Tamandua tetradactyla: one gene and its partners. The protein of the gene in region 3 interacts with the protein of the main gene of each other region in a pairwise test. Links are inferred from orthologs where the notes say so. Each region holds a gene or a part of one and is shown on either strand. Other genes may lie near its edges. The genes, in order: NGLY1, MIEF2, UBQLN1 and PNMA1.

What was found.
Region 1: the proteins of UBQLN1 (region 3) and NGLY1 interact in binary tests that used the Homo sapiens proteins (3 or more experiments, as listed by UniProt). The two-hybrid records come from large-scale screens. The link is inferred for Tamandua tetradactyla from reciprocal best matches to the Homo sapiens genes UBQLN1 and NGLY1.
Region 2: the proteins of UBQLN1 (region 3) and MIEF2 interact in binary tests that used the Homo sapiens proteins (3 or more experiments, as listed by UniProt). The two-hybrid records come from large-scale screens. The link is inferred for Tamandua tetradactyla from reciprocal best matches to the Homo sapiens genes UBQLN1 and MIEF2.
Region 4: the proteins of UBQLN1 (region 3) and PNMA1 interact in binary tests that used the Homo sapiens proteins (3 or more experiments, as listed by UniProt). The two-hybrid records come from large-scale screens. The link is inferred for Tamandua tetradactyla from reciprocal best matches to the Homo sapiens genes UBQLN1 and PNMA1.

What each region holds. Positions count from the first base shown.
Region 1 is NC_135341.1:62,309,976-62,317,167, forward strand, and holds the start of NGLY1 (peptide-N(4)-(N-acetyl-beta-glucosaminyl)asparagine amidase), read left to right. Parts: upstream 1-4,160; 5' UTR 4,161-4,215; coding exon 4,216-4,343; intron 4,344-4,991; exon of another isoform or gene 4,992-5,778; coding exon of another isoform or gene 5,779-5,831; intron 5,832-7,192. UniProt on the Homo sapiens protein: Specifically deglycosylates the denatured form of N-linked glycoproteins in the cytoplasm and assists their proteasome-mediated degradation. Cleaves the beta-aspartyl-glucosamine (GlcNAc) of the glycan and the amide side chain of Asn, converting Asn to Asp.
Region 2 is NC_135332.1:1,888,617-1,896,969, reverse strand, and holds the start of MIEF2 (mitochondrial dynamics protein MID49), read right to left. Parts: upstream 3,244-8,353; 5' UTR 2,974-3,243; coding exon 2,929-2,973; intron 2,396-2,928; exon of another isoform or gene 2,223-2,395; intron 650-2,222; coding exon 497-649; intron 369-496; coding exon 194-368; intron 1-193. Other genes in the region: FLII (protein flightless-1 homolog), read left to right, coding at 3,413-3,475, 4,969-5,079, 5,384-5,455, 6,480-6,560, 6,842-6,927, 7,011-7,172, 7,484-7,587, 7,875-8,050 and 1 more. UniProt on the Homo sapiens protein: Mitochondrial outer membrane protein involved in the regulation of mitochondrial organization.
Region 3 is NC_135328.1:116,702,714-116,711,062, reverse strand, and holds the start of UBQLN1 (ubiquilin-1), read right to left. Parts: upstream 3,088-8,349; 5' UTR 2,999-3,087; coding exon 2,819-2,998; exon of another isoform or gene 2,530-2,818; intron 1-2,529. Other genes in the region: uncharacterized protein LOC143673720, read left to right, coding at 3,088-3,463, 3,794-3,849. UniProt on the Homo sapiens protein: Plays an important role in the regulation of different protein degradation mechanisms and pathways including ubiquitin-proteasome system (UPS), autophagy and endoplasmic reticulum-associated protein degradation (ERAD) pathway.
Region 4 is NC_135338.1:32,581,678-32,589,442, forward strand, and holds PNMA1 (paraneoplastic antigen Ma1), read right to left. Parts: upstream 3,272-7,765; 5' UTR 2,482-3,271; coding exon 1,420-2,481; 3' UTR 615-1,419; downstream 1-614. Other genes in the region: MIDEAS (mitotic deacetylase-associated SANT domain protein), read right to left, coding at 7,453-7,642.

The DNA of each region.
Region 1 (7,192 bases), on a different chromosome or scaffold from region 3:
ATTTAGGGTCATATTTCTTGCTATGATTCTATGGTGTTTTCTTGCACCAAAATCTTTAAAAGGGCTCCAACTATTATAGTCTCCTGTTTGGATTGTTAAGATTTACCTTAAATTCTTTGTAAATCTGATCTTAAACTATCTTTCTAGATATAGCTCCTATTCTCTATTAAATGAAGTTTCCACTGAACAAACTGGTTTTCTCACTGTCCCTTGGTTGACTCTTACTTTTCTTTGCTTATATATTTTTTTCTTCAACAACTTTTTTGTTTTCTCCTACCTACCATGTGCTAGAAGCTGAGATACAAAAATAAATAGGGTATGTTCTTGTTCTCAAGAAGTTCATAGTCTAGCAGAGGAGAAAGGGAAACCAATATGTACAAACTACTGAAACATTCTATAATAGAAGTCTTAATAAGATACAAAGGGGCAATGAAGTCATACTCCCTTGTAAAATCAGGAAAGACTTCAAAGAAGTGATTCCTAAGCTCTATCTTGAAAATGAGTAGTTGCTCATCTGGCAAATAGGATGAGAAAGTGCACTCGGGCAGGAGGGATAAGACAAAGGCCTGAAAGCATGAAGCATCATGCTGTCTTCAACAAACTGCTTGTAGTTCTTTATGCCCGATGTCTGATTTGAGGGTGAGACAAAGCAACAGAAAAGGCATGAGAGTAAAGCAGGGCCAGATCACAAAAAGCCTTGGATGTCATACTGAGGACTTTGCATTTCATCCTGTAAGCCAGAGATCATGTGCTAGCAGTGCTGGTCTAATTCTGGTCTCATTCAGAATGCAATATACTTTTATCGAATTTAAATTCATCTAGGAAGGGTACGGTCAATTCGCCCTTCACCACAGTGCCCATTACTTTGGTCTTGAAAAGGCTATTTCACATAATTAAGTTATTTGGGTAGCTCCTGTCACCATTTGAATTTAGAGTATGGGCAAGGAGTAGCCATGGAAACCTTTTACCAGGAGAATAGCATCCAAATGCTATGCACCCTCTAAATTTTATAGGTGAATATTTATTATGTTGTAGAAATGTGGAGGATGGATTGGAGGAATGAGAGTTCAGAAAATACTGTAATAGACTGAGCAAAAGATGATGAGGTCCTGAACTGAGACAATGGCAAGGAGGAAAGATGCAGCAGATATTGAGAAGGAAAAAGGTCTTCAGGGAGGAAGAATTTGAATAGTGTCCTTTGGAGGTTAAAGAGTTGAGAGTGGAAGGTCTTCCCAGCTGTGGGATAATCTGGCATGCCTAATCAGAAACAACAAGATTAAAACTCTCCTGTCACCTGTCTCAGACTTCTTTGAACACAGCAGGTATTCAATAAAAAAGTTGTTGGTTAATAACTTAACACAATCACGCAATAATGGATCACAACACCAATTCCTAGAAGGCTTCAATCCCTCTCCTTGCTGATGGTCTTTGTTAAGGTCAATATTTTTGTATGTCAAAAGTAATCCTGGGGAAAATTTATTGGGTTATTTTTTCTTCTTTTTTTTTTCTTTTTTGTCCATTACATTTAAGAATAGTGCCACCATGTGTCAACTTTAAAGATGATGTTTTTAATAACACTGGAATTGTGAGGAAAATTCATTTCTGTTGGAGCAAAAAATCAATGAAAGAACAGGAAGTTAAATGCTGATTTAATACTAAAACACTTTGTTTGAAGCAATGATAGGCATTAAAAATTTAAAAATAGCTTAATATCTTTAACTTTTCTAAAGGAAACTGAAAAATCAAAATATCTCCAACTTAAGCAGAAAGAAGCAGAGAGGTAAAAGAACAAGACAACATCCCTTATAAAAAATCCCCTCAATAGCTTCATAAATGGTGGCATCCAAGAGAGACTGTAGTGTACTGATAAATTTTAAGAGAAGGGTAGGTTAAGAGTTGTTTGGAAGAATTTAGACTTCAGGCGATTATCAAAAGATCAAACAGCAATTTACAGAATAACCCTTGAAATGCTAATTTTCTATGATTTTATGGACTGTACAAAATTATCTCAGTATTAATGCTATGACATTGTTTCTTCAACACTATGGTTGCATATTTCTCACGAAGGTACCCTATGGCCATTAACTCTGTCACAAAGGCTAAATTGACAGCCCTTCCTTCTCCTATTTCAATTCCAGAGCACCTCCACTTTGATGTTTTGCAAATATTGGGTTTTCTCATAATAGTCTGTTTGAAAATAAAAGTGTGCCATTGCTTGTAAAAATTGGTAACTCATTATATATTATAATCTTAAACGATTATTTTAAGAATATACAAATGTGTTAATGGAAAAAAAGGAACCCAAATTAAAGGGAATATAGTTTGTGGTGGAGAGAGCTAGCTATAACTCTCCCATCCCCCCTCTCGTTTATATAGAGTTGTGTCCAGCTAGGAACAACATTTCCTAGCCCCGTTTTATTTAGCTAGGGCCTGATTCTTGCCAATGAAATGGAAGAGAAAATGCTATAGACGGCTTTGGGGCCCCTGTGGTTAAGTGGATGTGCCTTCTCTTTGTCCAACCACAGGCTAACTCAGAAAATTCTGAGGCTCTATGGCAGAAGTTGGCAAGCTACGGTCTGCCGGCCAGATCAGGCAGGCCAGATCAGGCAGGCCATCTGTTTTTGTAAATAGAGTTTCACTGGAACACAATCATACCCCTTCATTTTAAAAATCATCTATGGGGCTACAATGCAAAGTTAAATTAGTTGTGCCACAGACCATACCTCCCACAATGCCTAAAACATTTACCACCTGTTTCCATACAGAAAATGTTGACCCTTGTTCTAAGGGATGGAAGGAGCCTGGGTCCCTCAGTAACTACATGGAGGAAAGCTACCCCTGACTAAATGATACCTGCCATTAAACTGTTAAGTGAGTAAGAATAACGCTTCTGTGTTAAGCAGACTGAAAATTTTAGTTACAGAGGCTAGCAACATCCTATGTGTTAAACACATCATTCCTGGAAGCTTGTCCAAAACCTTACCTATTTATGAAAAGAAACTTCTCACATATATCTGATAGCGGAATGGAAAAGGAAGTTAATGGCAGAGCTCAAGGTCTTGCTCAGAGATAATGGAAAAAAAGTTCAAATCTTAAAACCAAACCGAAGATAAAGCATTAAAAACACTCAAAGAGGAAACTTAGGCAAGTATCTTAGAAACATAAGGTCAGGAAAAAGTATTTGTGTAAGGAAGTATACTTCCAATGGCACCATGAGGCAGACACTGGATTGAAGAGGTGAAGTACCCATCTTCTAAGAGAAAAAATAAAGAGTAATGGTCATGTGATCTATCTGTAAATCAAAACTCACTAAATAATACTTATCGTTACTACTCGGTATACATATTTTTAAATCCCCGACCCCATTCTATTCTATACTTTTTTAGTTGGTTCTTATTGTGTATATGTGTGTGTGTGTGTGTGTACACGTGCGCATACGCTTTATTCTGGTCACCACACAAATTGTCCCCGCAAGCCTCTAACCTGCAGTTTGAAACATGTCCTTACAGAGGCATCATACTATTTGAGCTGGAATTTATGTAAAAATTTTTCATTTATTCCCGCCTAATTCTAAAAAGAAGCCAAATATCTGAAACCCAGCAGAGCCTAATGCCACGCGTTTGGTCTTGAATGTCTTTTTTTGTCTCTCCTTCCCTCCGGTACCTTTAACCCAGGTCTATCTTGGAGGCCAAACCTGATAATCTGCATGGAAAGGGCTGGGGTTTATTGAGGGAAAAGGGAACAGTGGGGTGGAGATTTAGAGGATCTCCCCTCCTTGTGACTAGATCATTTAGGCCCGCGCCACGGAGTGCTTCTGCGAAAGAGCTGCCAGCGTCGCTCGCGTCCCTCCCGACCAGCCCACCCCGCCTACACGCCGTGTCCGCAGCCCCTCCCAGTCGAGACCCCCACACTGACCTCCCGACCAGGACAAGCCTCCCCCCGCGTCCCTCCAATGTAGGCAAACAGTCCTTCCAGCCCGAGTCTTCCCAAGCGCCCCTCCCGATCAGGCACGTCTCCCCACCTCCTAGCCGAGCTCCCCCAACGCTCCCCACCAGGCCCGCCCCCGCCCCTCCGGGCCGAGCCTCCCGCCGACACCGGCCCCTCCCGACCAGACACGCCCCTCCGGGCCGGCTGCAGAGGCTGCCGCGTGCCCAGGCGCCTGCTCAGTGCGGGACGCGGCGCGCGAGGGGCGGCGACGGCCACGGGCGTTGAAGCATGGCGGCGGCGCTGGACAGTACCTCGGACTCCGTGTCCCCGGCGGTGGCAGAGCTCTGCCAGAACACCCGGGAGACATTTATGGAAGCCTCCAAGCTACTGCTCACCTACGCGGACAACATCCTCAGGTGCGGGGTGGGCGTGGGGCGCGGGGGCGGGCGGGGGCGGCGCCTCTTCGGCCCAGGTCCGGGGCTCCAGGCCGGGTTCTGGAGGGCGGCGAGGCCGGGGGAGGTCTGAGGGGGACCCTGGGGAATCGGCGCTGCGCGGGAGTCCGCTGGCCAGGAACCCAGAGACCCGACAGGCTCCACCCCCGCACAAGAAGAGGAAGTTTCTTTGCACTTGTGACTTGGCATTTAATGTCGGGGTGAGCTGGAGTGAACTGGAAGTCCCGGGGAAAGGGCAGGACGGCGAGGAGGTGGAAAGGCGCGCCTCGGACACCTGCCTCTAGCCTCATGGTTTTAACTGTCTTAAATGTCAGAACTGCGCTTTCGTTTCTACTATACGGATTTTACCGAACCAGACTGCTTAAATTTCCACATGCACATTAGAAGTTAGTCGCGGACAAAGTAAACTGTTCTTCCTAACGTTTTGTAACTATCCTAGAGCAAAGTACTGAAGTGGTGATTTCTGAAAGAAAACTTTATGGTTCCCCGTCCCCCCCCCCCCCCCCCCCGCCGCCCATTTTCTTGATTGAAATATTATTAACCACATTACTGTTAAGTTACAATTTTCTTATTGCCTGGATTCTACTTTTCAGCATGACCTCTTAAATAAGTAAAAATTAGTAATGGTAATCATCTTGCATAAGAGTCATTTATTTCATTCTTCTGTGGGTAAAACAGAACATGTCTAAAGCAGTAAGGGACCTTAGAGACTTTGGAAATTGGGAGGCAAGTTTCAGTGTTCATTTTAAGTCACTACCTACTACAACTCTTCAGATCAAGTGATAAGGGAGTTGATAGATGGAGGAAGGAAAGGGAACAAAGTTAAATGAGTTCATTGTGCCGGTGATTTAGCCATGTTACCTAATTTTATCAGGTCATCTTGATCATCTAAGTTCATTGTCCCCCTCATCTCCTTGTGCATTTGCTTTTCTAAGTGAACTGTATATTAGTATGGAGTCTAAAAAGGAATTCCTCTCAGCAGGGTTATGGATTTCACCTGACCCGAATTTATAGACATTGTTTATAAGGGCAGTGTTTTAACCCATGGCAGTAATACTGTTCATTTAGATAACATTAATGACTTTGAAGGTAAATTGAAGGGAGAATATATTGAGCTGTTATTTTGTGCCAGATGTTATGAGGGATGCATCATGTGCACTCTTCATAGCTACAGAATTGTGACATGTTTGGGGAGTTCTTTCCTCCTCTGTGACATCTTCTCAATTCACCTTTCTACCCTTAGAGGCCTTAAAGCCCTTCAGAGCACAGGATACCTGTGGGACGCTGCAAGAGTGTAATCAGAGGCTGGGCTCTCCAGAGCCAGTTAGCTGGGGCCTCCCACCTGGAAAGCCATCAAGCAATTAAACCCCACTATTCAGAAAAGGGACTTGACCTCCTAATGAGGACTCACTTCTACTTTCATGCCGCTGAAACTAAAAATGCTGAGATAAGGTGTGTTAAGGGAGGAAACCCTTTGCATGCAAATAATGACTTTTGGCATCATAATCATTATTATGAATGTTTACCAAACTCCTGAAAGAAACCTGGCATTCGGTCAGTTCATACAATGGTCTTTACTATGGTTTATGTTTCTGATCTGGAAAAAGATTTGATGAAAAAAGAAATTAGAAATCTGGGACTCATAATCGGAGATGTTATAAAAGACTGTCTTTTAGTTTGGTCTTAAATAATAGTGCCCCTGCTCTCATATTAGCATTTAAACTCCTTAGGCCTCACTGAGGGTGGGGATGAGGATGGGGGATATTCTGTAACAGGGTGTGCCAGATTGAAAGCATTATGTATCCTAAAAAAACCCACATTTTAATCCTGATCCATCTCGTGGAGGCAGCCGTTTCTTTTAATCCCTATTCAGCACTGTAGGTTGGAACATGATTAGATTATCCAATTGTAGGCATTAACCCTTGATTAGAGGGAGATGTGACTCCATCCATTCCAGGTAGGTCTTGATTAGTTTAATGGAATCCTTTGAAAGAGGAAACGTTTTGGTAGAAGCTGCAGAGCCTCAAGAACCATGAGAGCCCATGCAGCCAGAGACCACTAGAGATGAAGAAGGAATATGCCCCTGGGGGAGCATCATGAAACAAGAAGCCTGGAGAGAAAGCTAGCGGATGTAACCATGTTTGCCATATGCCTTTCCAGTTGAGAGAGAAACCCTGAACTTCATTGGCCTCTCTTGAGTGAAGGTAACCTCTTGTTGGTGCCTTAATTTGGACATTTTTATAGATTTGTTTTAATTTACACATTTTCGTGGCCTTAGAACTGTAAACTTGCAACTTAATAAATTCCCTCTTTTAAAAGCCATTCTGTTTCTGGTATATCACATTCTGGCAGCTTTCAAACTAGAACACAGGGTTTTACTGTATTTTGGTGGATTCCTTTGATAATTTGCTCCATTTGTTCTTTTAAAATATGTTTAATTTTTCCACTAATTTCTTAACACAATTATTGATTACCAACTGCACTAAGTGTAATGGGGAAGAATCAAGAATAGAATGTGTTTTTTTTCTTCAAAGAGCATAAATCCATTTGAGAGAAAGATATAGGTATGGAAAACAACCAGAGCATATAATCTAAAGAACAATTTCAAGTCAGTGTTTAAATACTTACCTATTTATGTGAGGAATTAGCAGGAGGACCGTTTGATAAAGTGGATCTGATTGAGTAGCAGAAAGCATGTATTTGACACAGTAGACAAGAGAGAGCAATTGTAGTTTCTGGAGTCAAAGAGAAGCATAATGAAAGAATTTCATGTAGAATAATAATATGACACAAGATATGGATTCCATTTGTGA
Region 2 (8,353 bases), on a different chromosome or scaffold from region 3:
CACCCAACACAGACACGTCATGGTTGGTGGGAGGACAGTGAATCCCACTGTTCACTAACCATTCGGGGAGAGCACCACCCACCCCGAGTGCCTGGAACCTGCCCGGGTCACACCACCAGCAGCAGAGCCTGGACTGACTCCAGGAGAACCCCAAAGGGAACCCCTGCATCCTGGGAGAAGGGCTGTGGCTCACCTGCAGCAGCAGGGGCTGGGGACAGGAGGGGCCGGCTGAGGGGGACAGGAGGCAGCTGGGGGTGCAGGCGCGGCGTGGCCCTGAGCAGGTTCAGCTCCTTCCAGCTATCCTCCAGGCAAGTGGGTTCCAACTTGGCGTCATCCTCATCCCGTGGGCTGGTGGCCCTGTCAATGAGCTGGAGGCAGAGACACAGGTCGGGTCGCCGGGGTCCAGGCACAGCTCCAGGTGGGACACACCGAGCTACTGGGGGACTGAAATGCACCCCACCGGCCCCCTGCTGGGACCTACCCAGTACAGCCTTACCCGCTTTACAGCCAGGGTGGCGATGCCCAGTACTGCAGCCCCACCCATGCCCAGCACCAGGCGGGCATTGGCCAGGAGGAAGTCCACAGCAGTGCCGAAGATGTCACCGTCGGGCCGCTTCCCCCGCTTCTGGGAGAATTCAGCCATGGTCTGCTGGGAGAGAACCAGGTGTGCGTGTGTGCATGCACATGTGTGTGCACATCTGTGTATGTGTGCATGCGTGCATGTGGGCAGCCCCAGTGGAGAAGCTAGGACTGCCAGGGGGTGGCCCAGGGCAGGCAGGGATGGGCAGAGGGCTCCTGCAGCCATCCTGCTGGGGCACTTAGTCAAGCCCATGACAGCTTCCCAGGAGAAAAGGGCTACGTGTATGGTTTCTTGGGAGATCAGGGTGCTGCCCAAGGCCCTGCTCCCCCAAACCTGCACACCACTGCCTGCAGGAAAAGGGGGATTCATGCAGACTGGCTCCTCCCCAGAGGAGTGAGTCGGAGTCACCACCAGCTTTTCCCTGATCACACAGTGAGCAGTGGGGGCACAAACCCGCAAACATACAGCGTGTGGCACCCCAGTGTTTCCTGCTGGCCCCTGAGTCTACTTGGTCCTCTCTGACCCACGAGCCCAGCTCAGAGCCTGCCGCAGCCCTAGAGCTCTGGTTTCCAACCAGGGCTGGGTAGACTCCCAGTGTAGACAGGTGGGGAGGAGTTAAGGGGACCTCAGCAAGACTCAGGGGCCACACTCCCAGCCCTGAATGCTGACAGGGCACCCCCAGGACAGGCAGAGGGGGCCGGCCTTGGCTCCAGGCAGCAGAGGGCACGCGCAAGTCCTGCTACGTGCAGGGGCAGTGAGCAAGGAAGCTTTTTAGAGCTCAGACGTGAGACTGCCCAGTGGCTTGGGGACAGAGGGACAGCTGTCATCAGCTGCTAGGAGGCCACGCACCCCAGAAGTTAAGGTCAGGGTCAGCAGCGCCACCCACTTCCTCCCCTGCAAAACAGCCAAAGGTGGTGGACAGAAAGGATCAGAAGGAGGGAGTCCGCAGGTGTCTTCTGGGCAGGCTCAGGCAGGTGAGAAGAGGCAGGGCCCTGACCCAGCCCCACATTCTAAGGGAGACCCGGCCTCAGGCTCTGCCCACCAAGCCCACCTGCTGAGGGAGAGGGGCGGCTACAGGGCCAGCGTGGGGCCCCGGGCCTGCAGGAGGGACAAACACACACCAGGCAGGACTGTCCAGTCCGGGAGGCCGAAGCCCGCGTCATGAAGTCACGGCCGGCTGGGGCCCTGGGGACGCAGCCCTCCCGGCCTGCCAGGTGCCCGCCGAAGCCCGGGCCAGGGAGTGACTCATTCCCAAGCACCTACCCACCCGCCCAGGCTAAAAATAGAACAAGAGGTCTCAGGGGCCGCGCGAGGACACCGGCCAGCCGGCTGACCAGTCCGCCGGGCGGCCGGTTTGTCCACCGGGGGTTCACCCGCCTCCACTTCGCGAACTGTACACCGATTTGAACACCTCCCTCCTGGCTACGCAGGCGCCCGCCCAGCGCCGGCGGCCGAGCAGGCCCCGGCCCCGGCCCGGGCCCCAGCCCCAGGAGCCGGCGCGGGGGGCAGGCGTGACCCCTCCCTCCTCCGCCCGGCCCGCCCCCACGCGAGGAACCCGCGTCCCGGAGACCGAGGGGCTTGCCCAACACGGGATTCGAGCGCGGGCGGCGGGCCCCGAGGCGCTGCCCCCGCCCCGCCGTACCCAGGTCGCGGCCCCGCGAACGGGCCCCAGCGCGAAGCGGGCCCCGCCCGGCCCACCTGGGAATGGAACGCGGCAGAGCCGGGAGGCGCGCGCCGGGGCCGGGGTCGGAGGAGGCGGGCGGTGACCCCCAGAGGCACGCAGACGAGGAAGCCGAGCTCCAACGAGAGCGCACAGCGCCCCGCCCACGTGCCAAAATACTGCGCAGCTCAGCCAATGGGCACCTGGCCACGCCCCCCGCCCGGCGCGACTTCCTCTCGACTTAAAGGCCGAGGACTCCATTTCGAGCCCGCGGCGGGCTGGGAAGTGGAGGCTGGGAGGCCTGTCCCGGCGCGTGGAATGAGCGGCCCCCAGGGCCCGTTGTGACTTGGGTGCCCTGGGATAGTGAGCCTGGGGGTGAAGAAAGCTCTCTGGGCCCACGTTTCTCCCGGGACCACTTGCCGGGCGCCCTGAGGTCACCTGCCAGAAACCTGAGGGCATTTCAGGATTACCTGCTGGCCCACCTGGTGACCTGGGGTGAGGGGGTGTGTCCATGCTCCACAGGCCTCAGTTTTCCCTTCTGTAAAGCAGGGCCCCGCACGGCGTGGCTGAAAACAGCAGCAGCTGGGAAATGCCCGGCCTGCTCTGGGGTCGCTGGACTGCGCCCGGACCCCGCCCCTGTGGGAGCTGCATTCGGGGGGCCACGAGGCGGGAGATCGCGGGAACACACCTGGGGGAGCTCATGCCCAGCAGGGATAGCAAACACGTGCACCATTGGGCGCCTGCTGTATGCTGGGAGTTCCACGTGGAGGTGGGGGTGCGTCTGGCCTTAGGAAGCGTTTCACAGATGCGGCCGCAGGTATAGGGTGGCCCGGGCCAAGCCCTGGGGCAGGCAGGGGCGCCTCGGGAACGGGCCCCCGAACCCCTCAAACCCAGTCGGACGACTGCAGCAACATCCCCGGGTCCCGCCGCGGGGTTCTCGGAGCCGACGCTGAACCCTGCCGCCGTCAGAGGAGCCGAAGCCAAGGCCCTCCCCGCCCCGAGACCCGGCGATCCCCGCGGGCAGGCGCGTTCCCGCGGCAGGGCGGTCCGGGGCGCGGGTGCGGCGGGCGCGGGCGGGTTAAAGGGGCGGAGCCGGCGGCGGAGGCCCAGCCCGCGGCCGCCTCCCGGATCCGCCCTGCGCGCCCTGCCCGGCCGCCGGCGACAGCGGCGCCATGGAGGCCACCGGGGTGCTGCCGTTCGTGCGCGGCGTGGACCTCAGCGGCAACGACTTCAAGGTGAGCCGGCCGGGCCTGCTCGCGGGCGCTGCGCCTCCTCCGCCGCGGGCCCAGCCGCCCCCCGCTCCTCGGCCGCCCGCGGGGCCCTGCGCGCGGCCGCGATCGCCGGCCGGGCCGGGGTGTGGCCCTCCGGGCGCTCCGGGACCGTCCCCGCGCCCTGCCCCGAGCCGGAGTCCGCGGCCCCGAGGCCCGGCGCGCTGCCCGGGCGGGAGGACGGCTCTCAGGCCGGGCTGCGAGAAGAGGGGCCTCTCGGCGGGGGCGACCCTGGGCCGGCCGGCGGGCCCCTGTTCACGCCGCCCCAGCCCCAGTCGTGCCCCTCGGAGGCCGCACCGCCCAGCCAGGCCCTGACTCACGCCCGCGCTGCCCCGCCCCGCCGCCACCCCTGGCCACATCCTGTGCGGTGTTGGGCCAGACACTTCCTCCTCGGAGACCCGGGCTTGCTCTCCGGGAGGAGGGTCTCCCTGCAGCCCTTCCTGGGAGTGTCCGGAGGGCGTGATAAGTTGCTTGGAGGGTGTGCAGGCCGGTGTGAGCCCCGGTGGTGTGGGTCTGCCTCTCTTACCGGCCCCCTCCCCACCCCTGCCCCCTACCTGGCGCTGCCCAGTTGGAGGGCAAGAGGAGGTTGTCCTGGAGAGAATCGGGAATGGGGTGGGCTGGGCTGTGACTCCAGAGAAGGGCCGCAGCTGAGAGCTGGCCTGGTGGGGGGATGTGTGGCTGCAGTGTGCGGGGCAGGTATGGGCCTGGGGCTGTTAGGTGGGGGTCTGAGGGCCCCCCACCCCTCCCCCGCTCTGCCTGGGGTTGGGCGTCAGCCTGGGGCTCGCTCCTCCTGCATCTCCCAGCAAACCACCACACCTTTGACTCCCATGCCCAGGCGTGGGCTGACTGCATGTCACCCTGTCCCCCATCCCCACGGGGTCTCCAGGTGTCCTCTCTGCACTAGGAGAGGCTGCATTACAGACTGGGAAGATGGCCATAGGGGAAAGGGGACACCAGCCAGGGGCACGGAGAGCACTCTTTGTCCCAGACCTCCTCCCCCAAGCAGGGAGGGGCTGTCACTGCAGACCCGAACCCCCCAGCCCCCATCTGCCCATGTGCACCTGGGGCATTCGAATACTGGGAGTCCATGGGGGTGGCAAGCCGAGGCCTCAGCACAGTGGGGTCAGGACCTGGTGGGGGTGTGAGGGGGTGGGCTGTGCTGCGAGACAAAGTGCAAATCTGGAACGTACCTCAGCCAGGTACTGTCCTGTCCGGGTCCTCCCCGGGCTCAGAGTCCAGTGGGACAAATAGATCTCAGGCCACCAACCACACCTACAGTTAGTCCATCCTCACAACACTTGTCATGTGAGGGCTTTTATTAGCCCCATGTCATGGGTAAGGAAATTGATGAAGTGACTCGTCCAGGGTCACCCAGATGGGTGGGTGGTGGAGTGGGGGTACCGGGAGGGGGTGCCTCCCTTCTCCAGACATGCCTACCATGGCACTCCGTGGCTACACAGGGTGGCTACTTCCCTGAGAATGTCAAGTCCATGACCAGCTTGCGATGGCTGAAGCTGAACCGCACGGGTCTCTGCTACCTCCCAGAGGAGCTGGCCGCTCTGCAGAAGCTGGTAAGGGGCTTCAGGCGGGGAGCAGGAGGGTGTCCCTGTGAATGAGCCTGGGCTGGGTGGAAAGGGTGGCCAGCACAGGAGGAACACTCTGACAGTCGTGGTCAGAGGTGGCTGAGAGGGAGTAAGCACCCTGTCATGGGAGGTGTGCAAGAAGAGGTCAGGCCTGTGAGTGAGGAGAAGGCAGAGATAGACTGGGCCTGCGTGGCCGAGGCCCCTCCCCCCATGGGGTACAAGGCTGCAGTGGTGGGCAGGACATGTGTGGACCCCATCCAGCCTGCTGAGCCCGTCTCCCTTCCTGCCCCAGGAGCACTTGTCTGTGAGCCACAACAACCTGACCACACTTCATGGAGAGCTGTCCAGCCTGCCATCACTTCGGGTGAGTGCTGGGGGGAGGGGGAGGCCTCCAGGCACAGGGGTGAGGTATTGACGAGCATGGAGGGGTGCCAGACATGGGAGGGGCCTAGGGGCAGGCGCTGGTATCCTGCCCGGAGAGGAAGGGCAAGGCCAGATCCCCGGCCGGGCCAGCATTTCTGTCTACCCCCATATGAGAATCAGGGGCCGAGGCATAAAGAAGGGAAGACATAATAATGCTTGTGTAAGGTGAGGCGTGTGAGTTGGAGAAGGCCAGAGTGGAAAAGAAGAAAAGAAGTCCTGATTACCCACTTTGGGTTGTAACAACGCAGTAGTAGTAAATCATTTAACCCTGGTTTCCACCTATTTTGGGAGGGGAGAAACTTAAGCTCAGAGGTCAGGTCACACCTGGCAGTGGTGGGGCTGGTAGGGTGAGCTTAGTTGGGGTGGGAGGGTCAGAGGGGAGCCCCTGGACAACGAGGATCAGGTCCACAGCCAGTGACCTGAGAGGTTTAGGGCACAGCCTCTGGGCCAAGGCTGCCCAAGTTCAAATGTGAACTCTGCCATTTTCCGGCTGCATGACCTTAGACAAGTCACTTCAGCTTCCTGGGCCCCAAGTGCAAGTAGGGTGGAATGGCACTGAGTAAGCCTTAGTGGCTATTATCATTCTTACCACTGCTTCTTACAATCATGGGACAACCTCCTCCACCCCCACGAACTTCCTGTAGGTCTGCGGTATGTGGAAGTTCCACCCAGGGGGTCAGAAAGCAGACTGCAGCTCTGCTGTCTTCCTCTCAGTCCACACACTGATTTCTCTTTGGTCGCTCCATTCTAGAAACCTTGACTCAGATCTAGAAAAGGTTCCCTGAGGGCCCTGTGCTGGGCTGTGAGGTACATTTGAGCTGGGCTTTGAGGTATGAGTAAGAGCCTGCCAGGCGGAAGAGGTCCAGAGGTGTGACAGCACTCAGGCAGCCTTCCTGAAGGAAGTGTCCCTCTCCAGCCTTGGGGGTGGAGGCTGAGACTCACAGGCCCTCACGGTTCTTCCCCAGGCCATCGTGGCTCGAGCCAACAGCCTGAAGAATTCCGGAGTCCCTGATGACATCTTCAAACTGGATGACCTCTCAGTCCTGGTCAGTGGTTGTCCACCCACCTGGTGGGTCACCCCAACCACGCAGTCCCCACCCACCCCATAGCTGTGGTCTCTGGGGCCATTTTTATCCCACTTTCACGTGGGGAAACTGAGGCTCAGAGTGGCCATACCCTTCCTCTCAGGGCTGCCTCCCTTTGGCCCTGGAATCCCCTTGTTTGCTTCTCCCCTGGATGCCTCCTCCCTGGTGCCGGAGCCGGCACAGGTCTGGCAGGTGGGGCCAGCCCCTGATGCCCTGACCAGGGCCTGCTCCCTCCCACCCAGGACTTGAGCTACAACCAGCTGACCGAGTGCCCGCGAGAGCTGGAGAATGCCAAAAACATGCTGGTGCTGAACCTCAGCCACAACAGGTGCCGGTCCACCTGGGGGTCCCGGGCAGGAGCGTGGGCCCCACCTGCCAGGCGCCCGCTCAGGCCGTCCCTCCCGCCCACAGCATCGACACCATCCCCAACCAGCTCTTCATCAACCTCACCGACCTGCTGTATCTGGACCTCAGCGAGAACCGCCTGGAGAGCTTGCCCCCCCAGATGCGCCGCCTAGGGCACCTGCAGACGCTGCTGCTCAGTGGGAACCCACTGCTGCACGCCCAGCTCAGGTCCACCCCGCCCCGCCCCACCCTGCCCCTCCACCGCGAGGCGGGGCCCCGCCTCTGCCCTGCCCCATGAGGACCCGCCCCACCCCGTGAGGCCCCACCCCCACAGCCTTTCCTTCTGAGGAGTCCTGGCCTGGGGCCTGCTATACCCTCAGGCCTCTAAATGTCATCAGTTCTGCCTGCAGCCACCTTTGGCCTTGTCCCCCTGGGCAAATACAGCCCCCCATCTGCCCTCCCAGCGAAGGCACCACCCCCTGCTCCCGGGGCCTGGCCCTGCCCCCACCACGTGCCCAGCCTGCCCTGTGTCCCTGCAGGCAGCTCCCTGCCATGACGGCCTTGCAGACCCTGCACCTGCGCAACACCCAGCGGACCCAGAGCAACCTGCCCACCAGCCTGGAGGGCCTGAGCAGCCTGGCAGGTCAGGGGGTCCCCCTCTAACTTGATGGGGTGTCGATTGCCCCCTTCCCTGACCCCTTCGTGAGGGAGGAGAAGGGCTACATGAGTATTCTGTTGTGGTTGTGATGCAGCAAGTACTGCTAGGTTATGAGCACCTGCTCTACACCTAGAACTTGTGCTACTCTCCATGGAGAGAAACGGGCTCAGAGAGGTTAATTCACTTGCCTAGGGCTGCACAGCCTGTGGATGGTGGAACTGGGGTTCAAGGCCCTGAGGGCGCTTGCTGACTCCCACTGCCTGTGTCCCCAGATGTAGACCTGTCCTGCAATGACCTGACGCGGGTGCCCGAGTGCCTGTACACCCTCCCCAGCCTGCGCCGCCTCAACCTCAGCAGCAACCAGATCACAGAGCTGTCCCTGTGCATCGACCAGTGGGTGCATGTGGAGACCTTGAACCTGTCCCGCAACCAGCTCACCTCACTGCCTGTGCGTGCACGGGCTCCCTGGCCACGTGGGGGGGGGGGGGGGCGCGCTGCTGTGCCCAGCCTGACTAGCCCCTGCCTGCCTATCCCCCCCCCCAACCAGTCGGCCATCTGCAAGCTGACCAAGCTGAAGCGCCTCTACCTGAACTCCAACAAGCTGGACTTCGACGGGCTGCCCTCAGGCATCGGCAAGCTGGCCAGCCTGGAGGAGTTCATGGCGGCCGACAACAGCCTCGAGCTTATCCCGGAGAGCCTATGCAGGTGTGTGGGGGGGGGGGGGGCATGGCACAGCAGGCCCCGGCAGGGT
Region 3 (8,349 bases):
AAATTTAAAAGTTACTCAATGATTGAGTGCTCAGTGAAAAATAAATTTCACTTTAATACCGAAAAAAGCGATAAGCTTTATTATCAATTTTCAACAAGTAACATTTATTAAATACCAACTGTACATGGCACTACATACAATTAAGGTAACCTGTTTCTACTTGTTGGTTATACAAACATAAACTAAGAGAAAAATAGGAAATAAGTTATCAACTTACAACTTCTTTCCTACAATTTACCTAAGTTTTATATTACCTTAGTATGATATATTTAAAAATTTACATTACATAGAAACCTGTACCGAAAGATTTTAAATTGTAGAAAAGATTTGCCCAATAGAAAGCAAAAGACATCGATATTAAGCTTTGAGAGACTCTGGCTTACCCACCTCCCCGACAAGACAAAATAATTTTCAGAACCAAATATTTCCCAATTTTCTACTGAACATTTTAATGGACTCCTAATGTCTTTAGGTATTTTTAAATGACAATTTTTAATTAGACAAATAGTTTAAATCTATAAAATGCTTTTAAAAAACCTTCAAATTACAGGTCTTCTCTTACGCTCCAAGTAGCTTTTTAAAAAGAAATAGAGCATCTGAAAACTGCTCTTCTTATACCTGCACATTTCCTTATATATATGCTTCCCTTAAAAGAGTCCTTACTTATTTCAACCCATCTTCAAGTTCTTAAGGATCAAAGTGGTGAACTTCACTTTTTACCATTTTTCTGCTTCAAAAGAAAGCACTTGGTAAAAAAAAAAAAAAAAAAATTAACTGCCATCAGAAAAGTGACTTTAGAAAGGTTTTAACTTTATTAAAAATTTGCTTTGGTTACAGGGAGGTTAAAAAAAAAACTTCATAGAATTTAGAATTCTAACTCCACCATTACAAAAATTAAAAACAGGGCAGTGCAACGTGGCTCAGTGGCAGAATTCTCACCTGCCATGCCGGAGACCCTGAGTCCAGATGCCTGCCCATGCTCCGACCCACCCCCCCCCCCGAAAAAAAAGCAAAAACATCCTTACATACACATCATAAATTGACCTAAATGAATTTTTCTACTTAGAAATGGATAAATAAATTACAGCATAGTCATATAATGGAAAACAACAGCAATGAGAAGGAACCACTGATAACACAAAAATGAATCTCAAAGGGTACATACCATATGATCATATTTATATCAAGTTCTAAAACAAGTAAAACTAAACGACGGTGAAAAAAAATCTCAACAGTGGTTGATGGAAGGGGAGAGTGAACAGAGCAGGAAAAAGGAGGAAGGAATTTCATGGTCAATAATTATGTTCTACATCTTAATAGGAGTCTGGATTACAGAGGTGTATGCACCTGTCAAAATGTATGGAATGTAACGCCCTTTTATGATTAACTGCATGTCAAATTTAGTTAAAGAAATACATGTAAAAAATACAGAACTCAAGTTAATCATATGTACATTGCTGAAGTACTTTTTCGGGGGATATGTACTGATACTTGCAACATACTTGGAAAAGCATCCAAAAAATAAGATGGGCCAATAAATGATTTAGATATGTGATAGAACAAATATAGCAAAACGTTCATTGTAAGAGATGGACATATGGGTGTCAGACATATGATTCTTTCAACTTTTGTGTGTGCTGGAAAGTACAAATTGTTGAAAATTCCCATATGAGCACTGTGAGATTTAAAAAAAAAGTGTGGTTCAGATAGTGATAAAAGTTTCTCAGTTGATGTTACTACCTACACTGTTTTGCCTCACAGACCACAACACTTTATGGAACGAAATAAACCAATAGTGCAATCCTGTACTTTCCACCCAGAAGCTGCTTATAGGCAAATCTCAAGAATTGTTTTCCTTCATTAACTGTTCACACTGAGATAGAGACGAATTCAATTAAGAAAAATATCGAGGATATACCCGACAATGAACTAAAACAATTTGAATTTCATCGATTCTTAAAATGTCTGCAAAATCTGTATTCTTGTACAGACTTTAAGAAGTAAATTTGGCAATATTTCCCATTAACTTCAATTTTATTTTCTTTTATCCAACGCAATTGCCAAAATCTGAGTAACGCCGCTAACAAATAAACTTATCCCAGAATAGCATCTAAGACATGATAAATATACTAAAAAGAAAACAGTAACTCATCAATGAATGAAAGTCACTCACTTTTTTCCTTAAGACTAATACTATTGAGATGCTGCTGGAAACAATTTATACGTCACAGCCAGTATTTTAAAAAAAGATTGGAAGGTGGGAAAGATTTCAGCAGCCAAATCTCAGAACCAAACATGCACGTGCTCCTTACCCAGACCCAAACCTACCTTAAGCCCGGAGGCAGCAAAAACCACAAAGCACTCCCAGCGCCCCCCCACCCCTTTTTTAATTCAAGAAAAAAAACTAGAGTCAGGAGTTATAACCCTCGCCTCCGCCCAGCCTCCACCCCGCTCGAAGCCAGGCGGCGGGTCCCTTCCCTTTGTGAGGAGCTGGAGGGGAGGCGGCTGGGGGCGGGGAGCGAGAGGGGAGGAGGCTGTGGGTCTGTGGACGCAGGAGGAAAGCGCCGAGGGAAGCGGCGTCCGCGCGTCCCACAAACAGGCCGCGCGACCCCGCCACAAACCTCTGTGGCATCCCAAAGCGCAAACCCGCGGACATAGGTGTGCTCTCGTTTGGGATGAAGCCAAGGAGAATGGCCGAGAGCACTTCCTGGGACGACCCTCTCTTCAGGCCCCTCGAAAACCGTCTCCTCCGACGGAGGCTACAAGTCCTGCCGCCACCCCCACTCCTGCTCCGGCCCGAGCCCCAGGCGGCCCTCACCTGCTGGACGGAGCTATTTTCGGGCACGGCGAATTCCTCCTTTTCCTTCGGAGTCTTCACCGTGACTTTCATGATCTTAGGCTCCGGGGAAGCAGCGGTCGTGGGAGTGCCGGTGCCTTCCGCCGCAGCGGCGTTGTCCTGCGAGCCCGGAGGGCCGCCGCTTTCACCACTCTCGGCCATGGCGGCTGTGACTCAGGCGAGCAAGGAGGGAGCGGGCGAGCGATGTGGAGCCAGGAGACGCCGCAGCCGACCGGCCCGAGCAGCGGATAATGCGGAACCCACCGCCTCAAAGGCAACCGGCGCAGAGCCGCCCTAGCGGGCGAGGAACCACGGAGCTCTGTGTGAGCTCCGACTCAGACCCGGGACGCACCTCAGCAGCTGTGGTGTGTTCAGACGCCGCTAGTTCGCAGCGATATCGGCAGCCGCCGCCGCTTCCTCCTCCCCGCCCCTCCCCCTACGTCCCTCCTCCTTCCTACGCCAACGCCGCGCGGGGCACATTGGGAAACGCAGCTGGCGGCGGCGCCGAGTCATTCTGGGCAGTCGCTGTTGCGACTTCCAGGTGCTTTTCTCTTTTTCTCACATTCCATGGCCCCAAATATAAACGTGTCAGGAGTGGAAGACTAACAGCAAAGTGGTATGTGTTAGGTCAGCTCATTTTTTTTTCACTTTCACAAAAAAATAAAAACGCGGGCTCTGAAAGGCGCTGTAAGGGCACACGAAAATGACGTCACGGGCTGCGAAGTTACTAGAAAGGGAACTTGACCAGTGGCGTTGCGGCCGCGGGTGCGCGTGCGTGAGGGCAGTCCGGGGAGCGTTCCCACTCTCTTACTTCATGTTTCCTTGGTTTACCGCACCGCATGTTGCCTTTTATTATATGCTTCGGGTTTCCCGCAAGGAGATATTTGTAGTTATTTTAATTTGCTAAATTTTTTTATACCTGGAAGACTTGAACTCCGTGATCTTATTGCCTTGTAGGAGGGAGTAGAAAGGTCCCCGTCATAACGAAAGAAAAACGGAGTAAACGCCTGTAAGCAACCTGCGCAATCCAGCGGAGTCATGGCTCCACGCCTAAAGCATCCTGCTTTGACGTCAGCCAGGTATGGTCAGAGGATCATACCACTTCTATTGACAAAGTGACTTTTGCTCCCGCTCTGACAGTGCTACACGAGCGCACTGAATTCTCCGTAAACACTATTCCCCAAAATGTTTGGGGCAAAACAGAATGCCCAAGGAATGCCCACTCAACTGGGACAGTTTAACGGAGCTGAGGTATTCATTTTATAGTTCTCTAGCAAGTTGTTACATTTCATACTTTTCGGTGGTTTTTATGGTAGATCAAAAATAATTTTCAGTGTAATTTAGGTACAAATAATAGGAAATTTTGTTCCTGAAAACCCTAAACTTGAAGTGATGGCATCATTTACCCTTAAAGATGATTTACGAGTATACAATACAGTGCATAAACTTTAGTAATCAGTACTGCACAATCGTAAACTCTCTGTGACCCAAATATGCAAAAAATACATCCTGCATTTCTGTTCTTGAGCCAGCAGTCCTATTATGGGAATAAGTACTGTTGCATAAGGATAGTTTTATAGTGGAGCCCATTTGGTTATAAGAGAAGTTCTGAAAGTACAAATTGCCGTACAGACATTATCTGATAAAAGCTAAATTTCTGGCAGCATTGTTGTTACGTGCAGAAATTACACAAGACCTGAGAAGGAGACGCATGACTACTTAACTATGTCCAGGTATGAGTTAATCACGACTTCTCAAGGTAGAAAGTTCCACCATTGGACAGCGAATCATTTGGAACTTCTTCCATATATTTAAACAAAATATCTTCCCAACTTTATTAGCTCCTCATTGCCTAGTTTTTCCTGCCTCTGCTGTATCTTGCCTGTATCTTTTGTCTGGACTGTCTCCTTTGCCTGGAATGACTCCCCTTTTCTTCATCTTCGTAACTTCTGCTCATCATCCTATGTCATATTCTCCAGGAAGAATTTACCTCTTACCACTTACATATTAGGTGTCCTTTTTGGTGCCCCAAATGAATAACCGTGTGTAAATTTCTAACCTTGCACTTAAGAAATTGCTTCGTAATTGTTGACACATTTATTTCTTAAAATTCTAAGACATATGGCACATTTTATGAAGTAATATTTTATCTGTATGAAAATACAATATAGTTATCTATCATAATCAAGTGTCGGTAAACTCTTTCTGTAAAGGGCCAAATAGTAAATATCTTAGGCTTTGTGGGTCATATGATCTCTTTCTCAAGTTCTGAACTCTGCCGTTGTAGCACAAAAGCAACCGTAAATGAATAAGCATGGCTGTATTCCAGTAAAACTTTACTTATAAAAACAGTGTGCTGACTCCTGGTGTAGATGTCTAGTTAAAGCATTTTCTTCTAAATGGGTTTTGTTTATTAAATAGTCAATATGGAGAAAAATTGTAAGAGCGTATTTTATTCATTGTACAAATGTGAATTGAGTACAAACTCTCAAATACTGTTGAATATCCAAAGACAAATAAGAAGCAGTCTCTACCCTTAAGTATTATTATGGGTGGGGAGATAGGCAGTGGTGTACTAGTACTAAATGTCTATTATGAAATGTTTAGTAACTGACTCTGAGAAACAAACAAGCCTTGATTTGTAGTGTTTGCCAATTTCCTTATGGAAAATACAACATGGCCAATGTCAGTCTACCAACTTGAGCTCCGCTGGCTCACAAAATTCTGGAAATTTTAATAATCAGTTCTCACAAGCCAGTGTGAGCCGACCCTGACATACCACTGTCCCATTGTGAAAAAAAATCCATTCAAATATTCATACTTCAAGTATATTGATAGGATGTTATTTTTCACATGATAGAAGAATTCTTTGACAAAATGTAATCACTCAACAAGAATTTCTTGCATAACTTCTGGGAAACTTTTAATACACTCATCTTGTATCTAGGAATTTACATAATTTCAGCGCAAGGCAGTACCTATGTCAAATAAGTGGTGTAGGTCATATGCATTCATCATGTTTACCCTATTCAAAATCCTTAGTAAGCACTCCAGTGCCTGCCAAATATAGTCCCAGCTCCTTAGCTTGGAATTCAAGGCCTTCCACAATCTTATTTCCGCCTACAAGTTTCACTCTCTTTACTCTGCAGAGATACTGTGTTCTAGTCAAATGTGCTTATCATCATTGCTAGAAGTATTTGCACATTATAATTTTTTCACTTCTTATCATGCCTTCAAGTCTCTACCCCTACCTTGCACCTGTCCTTTGTTACTACCTCCTCTCTGAAACCTTTTTTGAAAACCTAAGCCTGCAGTTCACTTGGCAATTCATCACTTGCAGCATTACTTCTATTATCTTAAATTGCTTCTCCTGCTACCAGCCTAGATGAGGCCCTCATTAACTCTGCCTAGACTACAGCAGTAACCTCCTTAGGGGTGGGAAGATAGGCAGTGGTGTCCTAGTACTAAATGTCTATTATAAAATGTTTAGTAACTGACTCTGAGAAACAAACAAGCCTTGATTTGTAGTGTTTGCCAGTTTCCTTATGGAAAATACAACATGGCCAATGTCAGTCTACCAACTTGAGCTCCGCTGGCTCACAAAATTCTGGAAATTTTAATAATCAGTTCTCACAAGCCAGTGTGAGCCGACCCTGACATACACGTTCTTCTGCCTCAGTCTAAAGTCCCAATCCTTAAAGCTATTTTCTAATGGGGCCATATATTATTGTTCTAGAAACTTTTATCAAGACACACCACCACCACCCTTGAAAATCTTCAGTAACTCGCCAAAGTTTAGAATAAAGTCTAAACTTTGTGGCATAGTATGTTACCAGAAGACCTTGCTCCTCATATTTTGTCCTCAACCAAGCCAGTCACCTAAGATCTCCAAGCATCTTTTGTGCTTTCTTCCTCAAGGCCTTGCCATTTTCATTGCAATTAGAAATTTTCCTCCCTCATTTTGGCCCCATTGTTTTGCCTATCCATCAAATCTCAACTGAAATGTGGCCTTCTCTAACAGTTTTTCCCTAATACCTTTTTTGGTAAGAAATATTCTCTAATTCCTCAATAATCCCATACAACCTTTTTTTATGTTATCACATTCTGTCTTGTACTATTCTTACTTACGTGTATATCTTCTTTTTCAGACAAGGTGCTTGAAAACAGGGATTATGTCTTAATCATCATAAATACCCCCACAGTGCCCAGCCTAATACCTTGGCATGAGAGCACTATTGAACTAAAATTTTGAATGGCCATGTTTTCCACTAAAGAGGAAGCCCATTTAGAGTTGTGGTGTATATTTTATACTCTTTTTGTCTCTCCCAATGTTGAAAGTGTAGTAGCATATAAAGACATACGTGCATGTGTACATACATATCTTGGGGTATATTTGCTTTACATAGAACTTCAAAAGAAGGAACTATTCACCCCTTGCTTGGAGGGTTTGGAGGGGTGGAGAAAGTCAAGGAGCCAGGAGAGGATTTTAAAAGAAACTGCTCAGACCAGGCCTTAAGGAATGGATAATACTTTTTGTTAGGTGCTTTGAGACGGAGAGCATCGTGAGAAATATGCACAATGAGAAACAGAAACTCTCTTAGTGGCAGCTGTTTCAAACTATGGTCCACATGTTATAAGCAGTCTACAGTCTCTAGACTAGTTCAAAATCAAAAGGAAAGGGGTTGAATGTTCAAAAAGTTTATGAGCCTTAGGCCTGGGGGACAGGTAGAGGTGGGTAGAATGTGCAGATACATTTACAGCCACTACAAACTTTGAGTAGAAGCTGCTAAGTAGGACCCCATAGTATTTTGGTAGTGTACCAGATACTGTATAGCATACAGAAGCAAAGGATAAGGAAAGAAGATGTGGTCAGTCTGTCTGAGGAACACACCTGTGGTTTTTATTTTGACCAGTCTCTGTATTTGTTTTTTCACAGTTTAAAATAATTAAAGACTCATGGGAAGTTGCAAAAATTGTGCAGAATCCCAAGTACCCGTCAACCAGCTTTCCCCAACAATGACATCTTAAATAGCCATTAACAATATCATAACCAGGAAATTGACATGGAATCTAGACTATAGACCTTATTCAGTTTTTACCTTATTTTTTAGCCTACCTTGATTTGTGTGTGTGTGTGTGTATGTGTGTAGTTCTGTGCAGTTTTTTTTTACCCCATATATAGATTTATGTTACCATCACCACAATGAAGATACAAAACTTTTCTCCATCACCATTCTCACTGTTTTTTACCTTCCTGTATAGCAGGGTTTCTCACCCTTGACGCTATTGACATTTTGGGCCAGATAATTTTTTGTCAGGGGTAAAGGGCTTTCCTGTGCATTGTAAGACATTTCAGAGCATCCCTAACCTCTACCCATTAGATACCAGTAATAACCTCTCTTCAGCCCTCATCATTACTATCAAAAATGTCTCCAGACATTGCCAAATGTCCTATGAAAACAAAGTTGCCCCTGGGTGAGAACCACAGCTGTACAGAGATGTAGGGACCATCT
Region 4 (7,765 bases), on a different chromosome or scaffold from region 3:
ACCAAGTCTCCCTCATGGCAGGCGAGAATTCCACCACTTAACTACCCTTGCCATCCCCCCCATATTAGTTTTTATATACATTTTATATAAAACTTATGATTACTGTATGAGTCTGCTATGATTTAAAAACCTTGTTACTAGGGGAAAATCTTCACATGATTTCTGGATTTACTAAAAATCTCAAAGATGCACACCTCCGGTCTCTGCAGCCAAAAAGACATCCTTCAACCCAAATTTCCTTTTTAGGCTCTTGATATAAAATATCATTTTACACATGAATGTATACTGAGTCAGTTACTACTTCAGTGAAACAAAATTTTTGCTGAGAAGGGATTTAAAAAGGAAATAAAAACATTGCCAGATACCCTCCCTAAACCCCATCTCAAAATTAACCTAAAAATTTTTATTTTACTTATATCTATTTAACTTCCTAATATTTGCCTTAAAAACATGTAAAAATTGAATATATTAAAAGAAATTACAATTTTAACTCATAATGATAAAGCTTAAAAATAAATCAAGGTTTGATTTTGTTAAAAAGGAAAAAAATTGTAAGAAAAGGAGAGAGAGCTGAAATTACACTGAAGAATTTTATACATGACAAAATCAGACAATAAGTTTTAAATCTTTTTATTAGCATACATCTATTAAACAATTTCAAATTTTAGAACACTTAGAATCAGCAAGAATAAGGAGACCTACTATTTGATGACAAAGATGGAGAATGGGGGAATGGATTATTCTGCAGGTTATCAACTTCTCAGGCGATTTATATCTGTATCTTGTATCAAAATTCTTGATTTACACACCTCTACAGTTGCAGTATTTTTCAAACACCCCATTTTGTAGTCTCAGAATACTTTTCAATTAAACTGAGAGACATTTAAAGATGAGAAATATGAAATTGCACTTTATAGTTAAATAACAAATATCTAATAAATTCACATTTCTTTTCCATTAATATAAACTAGGAACAATATACAGTAAGCACAAACTATGCACGATATTAGTAACAATAAAAGTTCACATTTTTACTGAACACTTCCTTTCAGCTAAGCCTTGTGCTGTCTGAACATGCAATTTCTCATTTAACAACCTTGATGGGAAGCGCACAGGTTCACTTGTTTTTCACAACTGACAATGATGCCACGATGACAGCTCACACTGAGCACGTATTCAAGCCTTTACCTGGCATTTCAGCCAGCATGATGCACTTGCACTGTTGCAGCAGCTCACAGTGCTCGCTTGCAATTTTACAAATGTTACACTAATATGCAGGCCGGACTCCCCCTCCCCCCACCCCAAAAAGAACACAACAGAACACTTCTATGGATTTACTAATCAGAGAACACACCTATAACACAAACAATGGAGCAGACGTGATCTAGGTCTGCCCTAAAGCCCCCTTTTTCCAGGGACTTAGAAGTGCCCCTCCAGGCCTAACTGCAGGAGGGCTGCCTCAGCCTCCTCCTCCTCCTCCTTGGCCTCCTCCTCGCGGATCTGCACCAGCAACTGGAAGAGGTTAGGGGCCGGCCCTTCCGCAGCCCCAGTCAGCCATAGCTGCCTTCGGATAGCCCCGCTGTGGTTGGCCCCCGCAATGACTTGCTCCAGGCGGGCCTGGTTCACGTTATCTTTATCGATGGCCCCCTTGTCCACCACCTTCTGCAGCAGAGGCTCCAGACGAATGACATAAGCAGATAACTTTTCTCCAGGGTTCTGATAAGTGTTCAGAAATCTGACCTGCGCATCTCTAGAGCTCTCCACACTCCCAAACACCTGCTCAAGAGCCTTCAGACATTCGGCAGTGGTTATGGCGGGGTTGTTGGTCTTGAGGATGCGAATGACATCAGAGGCGGGGCCTCTAAGACTCTCAATCAACCGCCGCCTCTTTTCTACATCAGACACCTGCCACTCCTCCATGACCTCATTAGTGTGCTCTAACCAGGGATCAAAAGTCTCCTCCCCAGGCCCCGGAATATCTCTCCCCGAAAACAGGGTCAGCTTCTTGTACCAGATAGACTCAACAAGAGGCTGAATAACATTATCCAAAATATAATTTAGCATCTCTGCTGGCATTTCTGGGCCTGGGGCCGGAGCGGGGTTCTGAAATCCAAGGACCCGAGCAACATCTTGCACGGTCCACCCCTCTCTCGCTAGGAAAAGATGCAGCCTTTCCAAAAACTCAGCATCAGAAGTTGGGGGCTTAAAGACCACTTTCCAGACCCCGCCTTTACCCGGCATCTCCCGGGGGATAGCGGCGTAATCTACAGCACCAGTGAGCTCTAACAAGGCTGCTTTCGCATTCTCTTCCCTCCAGAACATTCTCCCAAGCACTCGATAGGGTACCTGGGGCATTGCTGCCTGGAGGGTCTCTTCGATTTCAGCCTCATCACAATTCACTGGGATTCCCCAGACCAGCAAGGCTCTCTGGGAGTTCACATCCATCCCCCTGCACCAGTCTTCCAACAATGTCATCGCCATTTTCCCAACTATCAAGTGGCGGCACCCTTACAAGTACGAATTCGATTGTGGCTTTGGCCTAGGGCTTAGCACAATACCAGACTCTCCCCCGAACAAACACGAGGGGGGCAAGCTTCCCGCAATTACAACTAACAAATGATACCAAAGTCCTGCCCTCGCCCTTCCCCTACCCCAAAGTACTACTCTCGTAAGTCCGTCCGGGCGTTCTCGGAGCGAGGCCTCGCGGACGCTCAGTCTAGTAAGTCACGCGGCCGGCGCCATCTTGCGTCTCCGGTCGGCTCCACGGCCGAGGTCCGTCGCCTGCAGACAGGGCGTTGACTCGCGACGAGGAAGGCGAGAAGAGAGGGCGGGTCGAGAAGGCTGGAGCCTCCGGGCCGAAGAGGCCGCCGGGGTGTGGTTGCGGGGCGTGGCCGCCTCTGCTCTCAGCCGCTCCGGGCGTCGATCAGGCGTTGGCGGACGGAGCTAGGCCTTCAGGGCGGCGGCCTGGAGAACTCTGCCGTCCACCGAGGGAGCTGTTCCAACGTTGCAGAGGCGACGGCGGCCAGACCAGGCGAGCCGGGAATGGTTTCTCCGCGGGCGCAGGGACCTTTCTAGGCAGCGACGATGACCGGGGACCGAGGCGGCAGACGGGCTAGAAGGACGGAGAGGCGAGGCTATGGCGGCTGAGACGACCGAGGGTAGGGGCAGCCGAGCGCGCCGGTCGCAGCGGGCTCTGGTGCAGCGTGGCGACCAGAGCGTCCTCCTCACAGCGAGCTCAGGAGCTTCTGCCGCAGTGGAGGGCGCCGCCCAAATCGCGAGGCGTCGAGCGCGCCCCGCCCCCACGACGGAGCAAGCGCGCGTGTAACCATGGCAACGGTGTCCCAGGCGACGGGAAATGCGCGCGCTCCCGTGGCGGGCTGAGTCGATTCGTTGCCATGGTGCCAGCGACAGGCTGTGGGCAATGGTTTTTTTGATGGCGCATTTCCTTTTTCACGTTTTCCGGTTTGTTTGTTTTTTTTACAGTGAACAAATATGCTAAGCACCGTGTTTAAAAATAAGGATCTAGAGTAGACTTAAAATATTGTTGAAAATGCACCCATCATTCAGGCCTGTGTATTGAGGTCGCTCATTCAGTTAGTCTATGCTGCATAATAAAATGTTCTCAACACCCCGGCCACCTGACCATACCCTGCATCCTGCATTTAATTCCAATGAAACCAGGAGGCATGTCATTTATGTTTTTGTGTGCGACACTGAGTTTAAATATTTTCTTACCTAAAACTTGGTAGTAGATACATTATTTCTACTCAGTCACCTTTGTAGCAAGGACACCATCAGTGTGAATTTTTTCTTGTCCTAGCGTCGACAATGAGCTGGTAAAACAGAATCCGTGTACAAAAATGTCCAGTGTCATCCCTTGTATGCAAAACAAGGCCTAATTATGTCAACCCCAGTTGGTGAAAAAAACAAAGCAAAAGAACACAGCATTCAACTCTGAATTTTTAAAACCTTATTTAATAAAAGGTTTAAAGATACAGAAGAACATTCAAAAGTAAATAAGTTACATAGGTACGTTACAATCACATCAGCAAGATTTTCTTTAGTGTATTAATTTTTTTTTTTATAAAAAGCACACAAAAAATAAAATTTTCAGTCTGGTCTATCACAACTGTACAGCAAAAGAGGTAATATTTATAATATATGTACACTAGTTTAATATGTAACAGTCTTTTTAAAAAAGGGTGCCACAGGCAGCAAACACACAAAAGGCAGTGTCTGATCTTTTTTTTTTCAAAATAAAAGGAATATAGTATTTATATGCTATTAAAATATTTGTACAATAATTACAGACTGTCAAGGCTGTTCCTGTGCTCTGTCCCCTCCAACAAGGCCTTCAACTTGAGAGACAATGAAGAAAAAGTGATAACAGCTGCAAATTGTTAGAGGCAAATAGTAACACAGCCAAATGTGGGGAGGATGCAGAATTGTTTTATAAAAATATGCATACTTCCTGTAAACCTAAGGAGTTAGGCTTGCCAGTCTGGTAATAAACGATCCAAGGAAAGTAGGCCCCAGTGAAAACACATTTAAACAGCTGAGGCTGGAGTATATGTGTATTCCTCCTTCATCTTAACATCTGGCACATAAGAAAGAGGTTACATCATTGAGGCAGTTAAACATAGGCCATCCCTTAAGACACAAGCAGCATGTGACCTCTGTGCTAGGGTGGACCTCACTTAGCACAGCGGGAGGTGGGGCGGCAGAAAGGGCTTGAGGGGGCTGCTGAAGGCATGGAGGACAGTGCTGACAGCACTGCTTCCTCGGGTAGGTAAGAGACCTCAGAAATGGTCTGGAATACAGGCACTAGGTCAGTGTCATGCCCTTAGCTGAGTGCAGGTGGAGGCTGGAAGATGGATATGGTGGGACAGTGTAGGAGGGCATTATGAAACTGGAGGTTTTGTCACAACTTCCTACAGCAAAGAGCTCTGAAGAGGAAAAAATGGAGGGGGTGGGTAATGAATTGACTGTGTTCACAGGGAGAAAGCACCATGAGAGATATACATACCAGCTTCTATGGCTGCATCAACTGTATTGGCGGGGCACTTGCCACAATTGCATCTGCCCTCTGAGCATTTTAATTTTCACACTGCATTCTAGATATAAATCCATCCTTAAGCATGGATCCTCCTAAAATATGGTATCTGGTAGATAGGCTGCTGGACAATTAATACTTTCCCCATCTACATTCGCCTGGTCTGGTCTTCGTGAGCTGAGAAGAAATCATTTTCTTGTTAAAAAAAGATGTCAAAGGACTGGATGCTACCACTGGTCAGCAGGGTCTCATGAAACTGAAGGTTGTTTCCTTTATACGCCCATGAAGAGGCCTGAAACTAAATACAGTTTAAACAAAAAAACAAACATGGGACACAGAAGTAGCACTTTGGAGCTAAGCTGAGAAGGCACTCATATTCCACAAGTGATTTAAAAGTTAGTCTAAATTTGCTACCCTCCTGCTTCTAGAAGGGTAACAGATTTTTGCAATCTTGGGCCATGTAGCTTATAGAAGTCTATGGAAGAAACTGACTAGGAAGCTGGAAATATATGGGGTCATCCAGGAGTCGGGGAGGGAGAAGAATTTTGTTACTCTTATAGCTGGGGTCCGGTAGAAGCACATGAATGAATAAATGAATATTGAAAAATACCTGATAGTGCATAGTTTAGAAACAAAACTCCCTCCCCACTCTCAGTTACTAACATGATGCTTTTAGGCGGCTATTTCAAAAGGAGTAGCAGAATGCATACTGTGGGGTTTCTTTCTAAAATGTATGACCTGTCATTTACTTGTATTCACTTAGAACTCCTACACAGTTCAAGCTGAATAACAAGAACAGAAAAATAACTCAGCTCTCCTATGGGACTGGCAACTGAAGAGGCCTCTAAAACCTTCCAGCCCTTTTGCCTCAGTGACTCCATGCCAAATATGGCTTCTTCAAGCCAGAATCTAGGCGTGATAAACAAAATTAGAATTCTGGCCTCCTGTCAATCCCCTCAGGCGATCTGAAAGTACAGCCAGGGAAGTAGCAGCAAATAAAAACTGCCTTTGATCTCCCAAATGCTCCTGCTAGCTCCCGACACCCTCCACCTTTTTTTTTACCATCTTTCAATGCTGCCATCATTCCTACCGGCAAGAGCTTCCAGAGCAACAAGGCGTGGACCTTAGGGTTTGGGACTGAGGGGGGAGGCAGGGGAGTGGTGCCAAGAAGGTGCCTTGTTTGGGGATAAATGCACTTGGGCCTCTGGAAAGCAGGCGGCCCCCTGGTCCCTGAGAGGATGTTAAAACTTAAATATCAAGAATAAATAAATAGCTCCTGAATGACACCAGTCAAGGAAATGAAGGCTCCTTTCCAATCTACTTAGGAGACCTCCCTCTCCCAGGGAAAGATCCAGAAATCTCCAGCGTGCAGGATTGGGAAGCTGAGCTGTGGGCATCAGCACTAGACAGTGCTGAGGGGAGTTGGGGGGTAACTGCTGAGGGCAGGACAAAGGCAGGTAGGGTACTTGCCGCACAGAGGCACCGGCTGGGTGGCTGGGGATGGCTCCAGGCCTCTGCAGGCCTTGCTCGAGGCTAAACTCCCATGGCAACCTCCAGGGCCAAGAAAGTATTTGGCAAAGAGGTGGGAAGCAGGAAGAGCCAGGTTTGTCAAAAGCTCTGCTTCCTTCCTTTCAGCAGGCTAAGCGTTCAGACAGGGACCCGGCCCCCTTCCCCAAACATTTGAGAAAACTTTCCAACCCCAACAGGGCTGCTAGCAAGCAACAATGGGATAGGTACCTGTCCTCCGACTCTCCCACGATGCATTCTGGAGGCCTCCCAGGAGAAGGTGGCCTTTCTGAGGACATAGTCACGGAGCAGCTTAAGGCCTGGACCACCACATTCCCGCCAACAGTGCCTTTTTTTCGGGATGGGGGCCAGGCCTCTGAGGTCCTCTGGAGAGGGGGAATAATGCTGCCATGGGGGTAAGCTTGGGGGTGAGTTTGTGCTTGGCTTGCCAAGGCGGCTTCCTGGAGACTGAGGGGAGGGAGGATGGGACAGCAAGGAAGAAGGGAAGAGACCGAGCGGCAGCAGAGGTCAGAGTGTGAGAGGTGGCAGCAGCGGCCGGCCGCAGAGGCTGGAGCCCCTTCGGAGGAGGCAGCCCAAGTGGGGACTCTCACGGTTCCACGAAAGCATGAGGACAACTTCCAACAGACTAAATGCAAAGAGAACTGGATGCTGCTGCCCATTAACACTGCTCCTTGGGGCCTTTATAAATAAAAGAGCCATTTATTTGACTGTCTGGTTTGTTTTTTTTTTTTCAGAGGAAAGTCTATGGTATTCTCTTCTCACTCCCTCCGGAGGTTCCAGGGTGTTTCCAGGCGCTTCCGTAGGCGGGTGCGGGGAGGGGCCGGGGGTGGGGGGCCCGGGCCGAGGCTCGCCCGGCCGCGCCCTCCCTGCCGTCAGCCCTTCTCGCCAGCGCCGCCGTCGTCCCGCAGGGCCTGCGGGTGTGGGGAGGCGGCGGCGGCTGCAGCTGCTGCTGCGGCGGCGGCGGCGGCCTCCTTCTCCCGCTGTCTCAGAGCTGCAGCCTTCTTCTCCTGCTCTGCGTGGCTCTTCATGTGGGCGCTGCGGCTCTTCACCTTGTAGAATACCCTGCAGCCGGGCACAGGCGGGAGTTCACATAAGTGGTCTGGTCCTCCCAGTCCCCGGGGACCACTGGGGAGGCGGGGGAGTGAGTGAGAGTGTGCGTGTGCGTGAGGGGGGCTCCAGCGGGGG